Oryzias latipes: one gene and its partners. Each later gene encodes a partner of the first gene's protein in a complex. Links are inferred from orthologs where the notes say so. Each region holds a gene or a part of one and is shown on either strand. Other genes may lie near its edges.

Region 1 (4,197 bases):
CCCCTCATTTGTTCTGGCCTGGGGAGCAGGAAACCAGTGAGCTGGAGAGATAGCAGAAGTTTTCATGGTTGTGTTTTCAAAATAAAAGCAAAAGCACGTGCAATTTGCAAGATTTTTCTTATGTGCATTAAACACATACTACAAAATAACTGACTTGTCAACCAAGATCAAGAAAAAAAACATGAAAACAACAAAAACAATATGAAACTACGTTGCCAACAAACACGCAAAAGAAAAATATCTTGTTAAGGAAAGATTTTAAGAAAACCCATTTTAACCATCTCATTAAAAGTGTTTTTTTTCGGGGGTGTTTTTTAACATGTTCTTGTGGCATTATTCTGATGATGGAGGACAAATATTAAGAAAATTGTGTTCAAATTGCATTTCTGAGTATTTCTTTATTTAAATGTTGGGAATCAGGAGCGTATGAAAACATATTGTTTGAAAAAGAGCGTATTTGTTACATAACAAATACGCTGGCCTGGGCACAAGCTCACCATTCCACATGAACAGAGAGCTCTCAGCAACGGGAGAGAGGAAGGAGAGGCAGGGCCGATGGTTCCTTCCACAAGTCAGAGGTTGTGTCCAAATTCCTTTACTAGTAACTACATAGTGCACTATTTAGTGCGTTCGCTATTATGTAGAGCTTTCCAAATCTACAATTCTAAAATAGTGTGCCCTAGAAATTTCCAAAATTTCTCTGCAAAAAACGAGTGTGCATTGATACTAGATTGATACTAATACATTGCATTTGAGCAATTTTTGTGAAACAAATGTATTTTAATTAATTTTGTCATAAACCAACTACATTTCATGATCAGAACACAGTGGATTCATAAATACTCTGTAAAATGCTAGTAATTTCTTAGCTTTTTACTTGTGACATCATTGATATAATTAATGTTTAAACAAATGTAGTGAGCATGATGTCCGAATTGCTTTTAAAAGTCCTATGTCGAGTGAACCAGTGTGTCTATGTCCCATAAAATGTCACAAGTTTTAATTTTTTGATAAAAATGGCTTAATGATACTTAAAAGACCACTGGAAACACTTTCAAAATGGATCTAGAGATAATTTGAGTGGGTTCTTGGAATGGTTTTATTTTGAAAAGGCCAACAGGATGTTTATACACCTTGTTAGCTTACTTTGGGAAAAACTTCCAGCCTGTATCGAAAAGTAATTTTAAAAATAATCTTTTATACATCAGAATTTTTTTTTTCTTGTTCTTTTTTTCTCCTTAATTTTTTTTAAATGTAAGGGATCACAGATGGGTTGCAGTACCACAGTTTGAACGTTAGTTGTCACTGTTCCGCTCTGTTTCGTTGAAAGTGAACGAAAATCCCAGGAGTCCTAGCGGAGACTCCTCCCACTGAGTTGTCCTGGGAAACACTAACAACTAAGAAAGTCTTGCGCGAGCGCCGCGGCTCCTCAGCGACAAGGACGGAAAAGCCCAGCGCCGGTCGTCTGTTTAACTTCTCCAAAACAAAGTTTTCTTTGAGAGAACAGGGCAGCTCGGCGTAGCTCCAAGCACAGCAGGCTGACTCTGGGAAGGATTATTATGTGTCTTAAAGGCGCTGCGCCTTCACGCTGAGCTTCTTCAGCTGCTTTAGGTAAGAAAGAGGACTCGTTTCTCTCGCTTCGCCAGTTTTTGGAGTAAAACGCACGCGGGACGTGTCGCAGTTCTGGCGTGGTTCTGCGTGTTTTTCGTGGAGAGAAAGTTGTGTTTTATAACTTGTTGCTCGGTAGCCATGACATCCTCGGTCGGAGCCTGTCCTGCAGGGCCCGTGTGGGAACTTCTCACGTTTCTGTGAGCTGAAAGGGGCGAGCAGCTACTCATCCGTCCTTAAAAGTATAAAGTGACCCCCCCACACAAAAGACTCTAAGAAACATTTTGAAGCTTATCTCAACATTTTTACATTTTGAGGTCGTTCACAACTTTTTTTTCTGCCATAATGAGATGTATAGACTTATAATTATAGGCCGTACAGTTGTGAAGATAATGACCATGCCAGTAGGGATATAATGGTTTTTGACTGGTCATACTTGAATTTATTGTTATTTTTCTAATGCATCTTGAATTAAACCACGATATATTTGCAAATATATATTTTTATTTAAAAATAAAAAAAACTTGTTATTTTTTTTCCTTTAGAGGTAAAAATCTGTGCCTAAGAGTAAATATTTAGTCTGAAAAAAATACTTGAGTATACTCAACAGACAGTGTCTTCAATCAGAGGCTTCTTCAGCCACACTACAACAACAGGCTGGAGTTTTTCCTGCCAACACTTTTCTCTCTAATAACTTCAGGCTGTGCCTCTCCTGCTATTATGTCTTTATGTTTTTAATACTGCATCACTTAAAAATTCCCTCAGGGGCTGCGGTCTCTCCATACATAGTTTACATGATGTACTCTTGCCTGGAATTAAGCCAACATTTTTGCTGCGTTGTCACTTTTTGGTTTCTGTCTCTATAAATGCCGTTCTGACATAGCAAAGCTCCTAGCAAACCAGTGCTACTGTAGATGAGAGTATATGGGCAAAGCTGTAACAATGCTTTCAAAGAGAGTTGACGAGAGGATAGGACTGAGTCTTTACTCCCCATGCAGGCAGCTATCAGAGTCACAGTGAAGATAGTGACACTGATTAAAATTGTGTTTGTTTTGTATCCATGTGACAGCTGGATCCAAAGTATGTCACATGACACTGCAGTGTCTGAGGAAATGATGTCAACTTCTAACGAAAAGGGAAAGGCCACAGTGCGTGTTTTTTAAAGTTCCACTCCACTAGGACATGGTTTTTGCAGAGTGGCTGTAGTTCATTAGAAATTTGTCTCTGAGTTGTGGACTGGACTGTTGGCAAATAGCAACCCCCCCTCCTCGCTAGCTTACAACCCCTCATGCCCCCAACCTAATATTATCGGTGCAGCAAAAATGGCGAGCAATATTGGAGATATCCAGTCATACAGACAGATACATGGTCAGACGAGGAAAACAAAGACGTACATGGGTCGAATGCAATCTTTTTCAAACTGCATTTTTTTTGTCTGCTTCTGATTCACAGTGATTTGAACAGAGAAAAACTCAGAAAAGCGATTTAAAGCTTTATCTTCTTGATATAAGTCTGACATCATTAGAAAAACCGCCACAAGAACACGCTAAAACACAATTTTAATCAGAGGGGGTCTTTAAGGAAGTTCATCTGGACGAGTTTTATAACCCGTCCTTCCTATTAGAGCTCCTGGACACACGTCAGGAAAAACAGGGGCCTGCTAATTCATTTACACCAGTTTGAGTCATCCCTTTGCAGACACTCAAAAGACCAGACACATGACACGGCGGGTTTCTGCCTTCTCATGACAGACCTCTTCCTCCTTGGCCAGTGGGCCTGTTTGGTGTGAGCCTCGTGTCAACTGTGGACTGCTCACACTGAGTCAGTCAGTCCAGGAAAAGAAGGGTCTTACATGTTTCTTGTGTCTGTGTCCCATCACTCAAATATTTATCAAAAGATTCTGTTTTTTTATTAGATCATTTTTGCCCCCAAAAGAGCGGAAGAAGGGCTAAATCTGACTGTTAGGCCAGCAGAACTGATTCTTGTGGGTTTTGTATTCATCCTTTAACAGACTCTAAAAAGCCGATGAAGTGAAAGCAGAAACTGGTCCGTTCTGACTACATCCTGAAACTTTTATTTTGCACCACGGGTGTGTTGTATTTGCAGTACCACTTCATCATCTGGGCTAAAATTGAACTTTTATGTGTCAAAGGGAAGTTTGCCTCAGTGACCTGTGATTCAATCTGGGGGCTTTACAGCCGACTCACAGGAAACGTGCGAGCTTTTAGCGGTTTGGTCGTTAGTATTTGTCAGTTAGCAGTGCGGCACTGTTTTACCTACACCCTTCCTTTTTGCAGATGGCCTGATTTATTTAAGAGAATTTGTGGGCTGCAAAACATTTCAACTGTTACCGGTCTAAACTTGTAGGATTGGTAATATCTAAACTTTCAAATTCAATTCATCCAGTTCATTTTAGTACTGAGAAATGCTACGAAGTTGAATAATTTCTCCTCTCAGATCATTTTCTCTTGTTACTTCAGCTGATTCCATTAATCAAGTGTCAGAGAGTGAGTGCAAGGCTGAGCCCCTGATCCAACTGAGGCGCAGCTCCTGGCACTGAAGCCTTTCAAAACTACAGCAGAGGTTTGG
Region 2 (4,140 bases), about 2.0 Mb from region 1:
TTTTGCAGATGTTTGTATGCAAAGTGACTTAGAAATGAGGAACATGACGAGAGTAAAACTGACAGTCACTCATTTTAGGTTAAAAGTGCTTTAAAGAAAAATCTTAGGTACAAGAAATGTCGAGGAGTGGGTAGTTTTTTTTTTAATCTGTAAGAGGAGAACAGTCTTTGGCATGTACTTTAAAATTGTGCAACGGATAGAGAGTTGCATATCTCATTCGAGCTAAAGAATTAAGCTGCTGATCTTTTGTTGGGTGGTGCCAGGAACACCAGTTGTTGGGAAAGGTTGTGGGCGAGTGTCAGGGTTTAAAACACAAACAGGGCAGCCACAGTAAGCCAAAACAGAGTCAGAACATTGTCACTCACTCGGTGTACCCGAATTTGGTCAATTAAGTTTATAAATTCATGGCTCAGGTGCACCTAGAAGACATACAAACTAAGGTTTTTTACATCCCTGCTGACATCAAGAGGCCTTGTTCGCTCTACGCTTCCTTCAGAATACACAGATTTCAAGTATTAAGCAAAACTTTGGTAAAAAGTTTGACCTTCTTTAATTGCTCAGTTCAGTTCAAAGCACATATTGTCTCATGCTGCACAAAAATGGTTAGTATTTAAACAGAAGCGAGCTGCTAAAAAAACCCCACATATATTTATGTACTCTTTGTGAACTTTTTCTACTGGATCATAATGCAGTAAAGTCATGTTTATGTTCCTGTTAACAGCAGCAGGAAGAAAAAAAAGATGATATCTCACCACAGTCGACCTAAAAAATAAAAAGTGAAAACACTGTTTATGCCCTGAGTTGTTTGAAGAAGTACATTAGCTGCACAGAGCGTCTTTGTTTTAAAAGAAAGTCATTTGACCTCCTATATGAGCTTCTCTCAAAAGTAAAAAATATGTTCACATTTTGGGAAAATTCTAGTTTCTCTTTATATTCGTGTATATATCCATGACAAAAATGAAACAAAAATCATGTTATAAAAGTAGAAAGGACATGAAATTTCTCTTTTAATTAATTTTAATTTTTATGTCATGGAGTATTTATCCTATCAAACCTTTTCCAAGTCCTGGTAACTTTTATTACAGTTGTTTTTTTCTTCTACTTGGCACAGCAGAGAGCATCAAAAAACAGAGCATTAAAAAAACAAAAAGACACTGGAGCAGAAAAAAGATCAGAAAAATATAGCAAACAGTCAATTTGACTGCTATGGCCATTTGATCTTTATCTTTTGTGTGTTTTTTTTTAAATGACGTTAGAATAAAACATACACACAGTTTCAAAAAGTCAGGGTCTCATTAATCCATACGTTAGCAGGATTTGATGTAGCAAATTTTAAAAGCAGTTGAAACTCTCTTTAATGGTTGCTGGTTTACTATTTAAGTGGGCTGTTAGAGCTGCTACTGAGTGGAACTTCACCCCCATGACTATTAGAAATCAAATCACATATAAATCATTTAAGACACAGTTAAAGAAATGGCTCATTGACAATCAGAGCTGTCAACACTACGTACACTTCCTATCACTGATTACCCGCTACTATCTTGTCTTGTGTGTGTGTATATGTTTATGCATTTGTCCGATTTGGATTGTTTTATTGCCAATTTAATTTTAGGTTAACTACTAATTTTACTGAATGTATGGTTTAATATATGTATGTAATGTTATGTAAATATGTAATTTTATTTTGATCTTGTAAGGTGATTTTAACATCTACCCAGATAAAAAATTGAATGAATATTGACAGAAATAATTATTAATATGCGCTGTCCCTGTATCGAATAAATAAATAAAATCTAAAATTAAAAAAAACTCTTGAAAAATAAAGGAACTTTAAACCAAAGCAAAAAAATATATATTTAAACACTTTATTGTAATATTTTAATAAACAGTTGTAAAAATGCAAATACCTAAAGCCTGCCTACCCAATCAAGTCTTGTTCATTTGTGTTATCCTAAAAATGCTCACCTGCTGAGACGGGGTGTAAACAGGTAGCAGCACTTCATTAGCATCTGCAGAGGAGAAGTGTCCAGACTCCACAAGAGCTTCCACCGCATCATGAACGGAGCCCTGCAGTTTCCAGACCAGACTAGGTCTTCGTTTCAGGACCGTCTCCGTCCATGTCCTCTGAGTGACTTCTAGTTCATCCAAAGTGGATGAGTGTTCTAAGAAGCAAAGACCAGCCCCCTGCTCTTTTGGCAGAATCTGTTTGAGAGCAGCGAGGAAGAGCTCACAGGTGTCTGCACCCTTTGTGTAAACCAGGTCAAGCAGGTTTCTGGCATTGCTGTTCAGTGGTCTTCCTGTAACCTGTACGTTCTGGTAGTCCTCCCATGTGATCTCTTCCTGAGCCAGCAGTATATCCAAAATGCTTTCCAGATGTTCAGCTGACCCACCACTGCAGAGAGCACGCAGAATCTCTGTACGCTGCTTCAGCAAACGCTCCATGGCAGACGGGCTTTTTTCGCATCAGCTTCCATGCTCCAAGATTCCATCTTGGACTTGTGCTGCTCGCAACGCCCCAGCCTGCCAAACACAGATGTGATCATTCATGGCAAGAATCCACGAGTTTTACAATTCTCGCTTTACAAGTTTGCATTGGACGCCATAGGTAGACAAAACACAGCTCTTTAGTGATCTCTGTATGGCGTCCATCCACATGAGTCACATTCTGTCAAAACCTGAAGATATACTTGAAAACCTGCTATTAAAATATGATCTCTCACTACGAAATGTCAGCAATCGGGGCTCCTTCTCTCATTTGGGCGTCCTGAAACATTTGTTGGTGAGCCTCTGTCTGTCCTCTTCCTCATTCCACAACTGAAAGTGAAACTGGTTTTGCACAACTTTAATCAAAAGTAAATGTTGGTTAAAAAAAATAAAAACAGTTTGTCTGAAGTACTTCCCTGTTGGGGCGGATTTTGCAGCATAGATTTTCTGCTTAGTTCTATCACATGTAAACATATTTCTATAGCAGAAATGTGAAGGTTTCTTTATATTTTAAAAAAACTTTAAAGACAATGCTCATTTCTCCCTTTCTTTTATGTAAAAGCTGTGCTGTGTGGAACATGATCAAGTAGAGAGAAAGGTTTCAGAGACGAGGGTTGCAGTTTGATGCTGCGCCCACTTGATGGAACTGTTGCGTAATAAAAAAATCTAGCTGGTTTGTAGAGAAACCTGTGACTGGTTGACATTGGGGTTGACATATTTCTGAATTTCTGCAGCTATGTAGTTTTTTTTGTGCCTTTTTTATTTTAGAACCCAAACAAACTGTATGTGAAAAAAGGTGAATAGAAATGTAGTAAAATCAAAAGATGAGATACATAAATCATATTTTGCAATGCTTTTTCAATTTCTTTTTCAATTTCTTTCAAGTGGCTGGGATAGGCTCTGGCAGCCTTGTGACCCCGAAAGGGAACTAACGGAAGAAGATGAATGCTTTTTAAATTTTTTTTTTTTTTTGCTCCGTCCTGACCATGTGATTGTTTCGTTATCAGGCCTCTCTGTTCTGAAGGGAAACATAAATGAGCAGAAGAAATCAAAGATAGCTTCTTTTCAGCTCCTCACCAAGAAACAGGCAGCTCCCCCTTGGGGAGTGTAATGCAGAGTACTACCTGTAAGGCATCCTGTGTGAAACCTAAAGGGGGGATACTGTCATCTAAATAACAGACAGGAGTCCAGAGCAGCTTGAGAGACTTTAAAAATAAGGTATAAAGTCACTCGTGCGTCAATTTATTCAATTCAATTCAATTTTATTTGTATGGCCCAAATTCACAACAACAGTCGTCTCAATGGGCTTTGTATCGGGAATTGAAAAAGTGAAGCATGAACTCAAAAGGATCATGAATACATAGAGTTCATTAGGAAAAATACTAAAAGGAACTAACAAACTGACTAAGCTATACTGGCATCCCTGCCCTTAGACCCCCCTTCCTGGTAAGGAAAAACTCCTAAAAAACCGGATTCCGGAAAAAACGAAAACGATCATTTTAATGTTATATGCGTGCCGTATACATAATATAAAAGTTATACATCGGTGATACATGTGGGAAAAGTCTGTTGGACATACATGGAAAGCCACAAATCTGCGTGTGCATCGTGTAAAAATCATGCACAGATTTACTTATTGATTGCGTATAAACTACG
Region 3 (4,168 bases), on another chromosome or scaffold:
GGGGGGGTGGGGGCTGTAGTATGTGCTTTCATTTAACAATAATGTGTTGTTGTTTTTTTTTTTTCGTTTTTCCGACTGGAGGAGTTTATAATGACCACACGTGAAGGGCAAAGAAGTCGCCACATCCAACAAAAATAGGGTAGCAATTAAAATGATTACCACTCTGACAATTAAAAAAAGTATACGAACAGCCCCAGCAATCACGGCTCCTACCTCGTTTTCAATCTTCAGCAATTTTTTCACCGCCACCTCTTTGTCCCGGGAGACCCACTTGGCTCGATACACGCTTCCGAAGCTGCCGCCGCCACAGTTCTCGAAGAAGTGGATGTCACCGAAGTTGATCTGCACGAAAGAAACGCTGGGAGACGACATCTCATAATGGCAGCTTCAACTCAGCCTCTGAGGAGGGGGGGGGGGGTCACTAGGGGGGGGGGAGAAAAAAAAAGTCACTCAACAAAGTCCATCCAAGTTGTCGGTGCAACAGCAGCCCGACTGCACCCGCCTGATCCTACAAGTCAGTTTATCTTTGAGTTGTTCCTCATTTTCCACCTCCAGCCCTTATCAGTGACAACAAGCTCAGGCTCCAGCCAATGCGTGCACACACATATGATGCAGTGACCTGCAGGATCTACTGCTGTGCTTGGTTTAAGCACTGCACATGTGACATCACGCATGTGATGGTCGCAAAAGAAAAAAAATAAGAGATCAAGTCATCATAGCAGTCCGATGTGTGGAAACCCTTTGAATTTGGCTACGATCATAGAGTGTGGTATCATGTTCTCATAATGTTCCCTTTGGATTCTTTTGATGTGGAAAAACAGTAGGAAACTGAAATGTGAATGGATTATCCACTGATACTTGTTTACTTGTTTCTTTGTACTCATATTTAATTTTGATTATCTTGAAAGAAAAACAAGGAATCTGGAAAACTTCAGCTGCACTGTTCAGTATCCAGATATTTATCTCTGAGTCCCACTGGTGATGAAAGATGTCCTGGATCGATTTTAGGTCAGTGATTTGGATCGATCAAAATGAACCAATATCGATTATGAATCATACTAGCAAATAAAAACTATGATATGAATTGAATCGTTGTGCAAATTAACTGTTAAACCCCTTAATTCAGTTGAACTCCCAAAGTAAATGTTACAATAAAAGAGTTTTTAATAACTACATCATTTCATTTTTGTTTAAAGTCACAATTATCTTTTGATATATTGTAAAAGCATTCCCAGTGCTCTTTTAACTGCGATTTTGCCCTTTTTCAGCCAAAATCAAAAAAGCTGTGTGGTTTTCTAGGACGTAGTTCCTGCAGAGCGGCAGAAATTTGCATCATCATCTTTACACTCTCTCCTGCTAGTTTACAGTCCCTCACAACCGCAAGCTCACAGTACAGGGGTAAAAAAATGGCGGTGCCATCCAGCTGTACAGTTTTGAGCCAGATGCCAGCTCAGACGAGGAAAACGTACATGGATCTAATCGTCTGCAGGTGGATGCATCGGAATGGAGTGGAGCATGAGGCCTGCCCATTGTAGCACCTATGTCAGAGCTGCAAGCTTTTTCCAAACACATTATTTTTCATCTGCTCCTGCTTCACAACGATTTGTAATAAAGAAATACTAAGAAAGGCGGTTTTAATCTTAAATTTGTCCCCCATCATTAGAAAAAAGCTACGAGAAAATGTTAAAAACACGATTGAAGAAAGTCAAACTGATGAAGAGAACAAAAATGCTTAAAATTGGAAATCAAATTTGGTGTGAAAAAAATATTTATAGGCCATAGTGGCCCTAACACCAAATGTACCAAATCCACCCCAACTGATCATCACACCTCCTGTTTGTCCACCGCAAAAATAAAAGCATCTAGTAAAAAAAAAAAAGGAGGAGGAGTGTGTGTGGGGGGATCCATCATTAAAGGAAATTGTAGCTCTGTTATTGTTCCTGGGTTTTCCATTTACAGCAGAGCAATTACGGCTTTTAAAAGCCAACAGCCTCGGTCTTCATTGGGATTACTATCCATCACACTAAGAAATGCCTCCATTGTCGCAGAGGGGAGCCGCTGCTTTCAGCTGATTTACTTGTATTCATGCTATACTTAGCTACAAAGCAATTTGCTAAGTTGCAGAGAGCAACCCCCCCCCCCCCCCCCCTCATTCTGTCTGACCACTCAAGAAACCAGGGTTACTTGGATATGCCCCCCCCCGCCCCCTCCTGTCAGTGTTGCTGCCTCTCATCATCTAACAGCAAACAACGCTCAACAATGAGACCTGATGGCCACTTCAGAAAGCTCAGGTTGTTGTAATCAGATCTGAACGGAAAGTCTGCGTCTGCATTAAAACATAATGTGACACCAAAAACATAAAAGTTACGCTTTGTTTACAACAGGATTATGACTGTGGTTTAAGCATATTTAGCTTCAGACGACAGGCGTCACGCGCGCGCGCACGTAGCTTTAGCAATACAATGAATGAGTTGAATTATGTAGCTAAATAGTTTTATTAGACCGCGTTCTATACATACATACCACCATAGAGTAAAGGTTCGGCTTTCGGAGTAGCACGTTGTGGGTTCCGTTCACGCCGGGCATGAGCCTGACCTCGAAAAGCGACTGCAGTTCCGGAAAGTCACGTGTGGAGTCTCCCTTTTTTTCTCTGCTCTCCCAGTGAAGTTTCGCTTGTTGCATAGTTTGAGCAACAAGCTGTTTTATGCTGTGTGGCAGTTTTCCGGCTGCAGTTCCCCTCCAATTTGAAGGCAACAGCTCCCCCTGCTGGATGAACGTTGAACAACCCCACATGGCACTTGAGCCACACCACAGAGGAAGTTTTTTTAACCCCTCCCATATTTCAAAGTAATATGCACTTTGTCAATTGACAGTTTTGCAGTTGATTTTGCTTTAATTTCATTTTTTTTAATTGTAATACTGAATTGTAATTTTTCTTGTTTGAAATATAAATTGTGAAGCACATTTTGATATTGCAAGCCTGAGTTAGTCATTAACACGTCAATTGCAAAAGGCATTTTCATATTGCATGATCAAATTGCAAATTGAACTGTCAATTGAGAATTACATATTACTTTGAATCATGGATGAAAACATGTCCATTCCCAATAAAAAACACCCCTGTGTCTAAAAGGATAATTTCAATGCAGCAAATGTAGTAGTGAAATGTCAGTAGTGATTTCCTAAAAAATAGTTTAATTTAATGTGCAAGATAGCCAGTTTTTATTGTATACAAATTAGTTATTAATCAGCAAAACAGCAATCTGGTCTATACCCATGTAGATGAATTCAATATTTGTAGCATTTACTATTTTGGCAATATTAAACAAATTCTGGAAACAAAAACTTATAGCAAAATTTTAATAAATATATTGGGTCCTGTTGTTATTTATGTGTTTAAGGAACAATGAGATTTTAATTTTTACACAAGTTTCCTCAAAAGGGGAGGAAAAAATACACATTTTGTTATTCCATTAAGAAAAGGTTTGCCCAAGACAGACATTAGTTTTTCTCCTTACATTTTCTCCTATTGTTTCAAATATTGTAATTCCTCTCATCTTGGTGTAGAAAAATGTAAAAAATAAAAGGAAAAATATATACATATTTATATAAAAGCAAAACATGAAAAAGAAAACTTAATCCAGTACACTAATACATCTAAAAAATTGTATGTGATACAAAAAAATCAACAACTTTAGATACTTTTTAAAAGAATTGGGTTCACATAAATAATCATTACAGTCATCCATTTGCAAAAGTCATCTTAAATATAATAAGCCAGTTACAGCACAAAAAAAAAAGGAAGAATATGTACAAATATTATTTGGTAAAAGATTCAAAACACTTGAAAATGAGTAACATTGAGATTTAGAATTTTGCAAGCATCATGTACTCAACATCACAATTCCCATCCTTCAATAAGATCTTTGTCTTTTTCGAGGTTTGCTGGAGTTTGAGATGGTTTCTGTGTTGCCCCAATATGAGAGGTACTTCATCCGGCAACAATTACTGTTGTTGAAAATCCCAAATTACAGTAATAAAAGACTTAAATAGTCAGCCAACAGCTTTTGAAACAATATGTCATTATCTGGTGCCTCATTAGGTCCTCCATGTGATTGGAGTAAATTCATAATAATCTGAGCACATGTCATGTTGTGAAGCAGCATTA

Evidence for each region. Proteins that work in one complex are often made in the same cells at the same time.
Region 2: akap13 (region 1) and nod2 share a complex: the UniProt entries of both Homo sapiens proteins name them as parts of the signaling complex. The link is inferred for Oryzias latipes from reciprocal best matches to the Homo sapiens genes AKAP13 and NOD2.
Region 3: akap13 (region 1) and map3k20 share a complex: the UniProt entries of both Homo sapiens proteins name them as parts of the signaling complex. The link is inferred for Oryzias latipes from reciprocal best matches to the Homo sapiens genes AKAP13 and MAP3K20.

Annotation. Positions count from the first base shown.
Region 1 is NC_019861.2:32,241,868-32,246,064, reverse strand, and holds the start of akap13 (A-kinase anchor protein 13), read left to right. Parts: upstream 1-1,396; 5' UTR 1,397-1,611; intron 1,612-4,197. UniProt on the Homo sapiens protein: Scaffold protein that plays an important role in assembling signaling complexes downstream of several types of G protein-coupled receptors.
Region 2 is NC_019861.2:30,238,001-30,242,140, forward strand, and holds the start of nod2 (nucleotide-binding oligomerization domain-containing protein 2), read right to left. Parts: upstream 2,801-4,140; 5' UTR 2,721-2,800; exon of another isoform or gene 2,521-2,720; 5' UTR 2,443-2,520; coding exon 1,966-2,442; intron 1-1,965. UniProt on the Homo sapiens protein: Pattern recognition receptor (PRR) that detects bacterial peptidoglycan fragments and other danger signals and plays an important role in gastrointestinal immunity.
Region 3 is NC_019879.2:22,146,316-22,150,483, reverse strand, and holds the start of map3k20 (mitogen-activated protein kinase kinase kinase 20), read right to left. Parts: upstream 2,801-4,168; 5' UTR 2,524-2,800; intron 422-2,523; 5' UTR 373-421; coding exon 214-372; intron 1-213. UniProt on the Homo sapiens protein: Stress-activated component of a protein kinase signal transduction cascade that promotes programmed cell death in response to various stress, such as ribosomal stress, osmotic shock and ionizing radiation.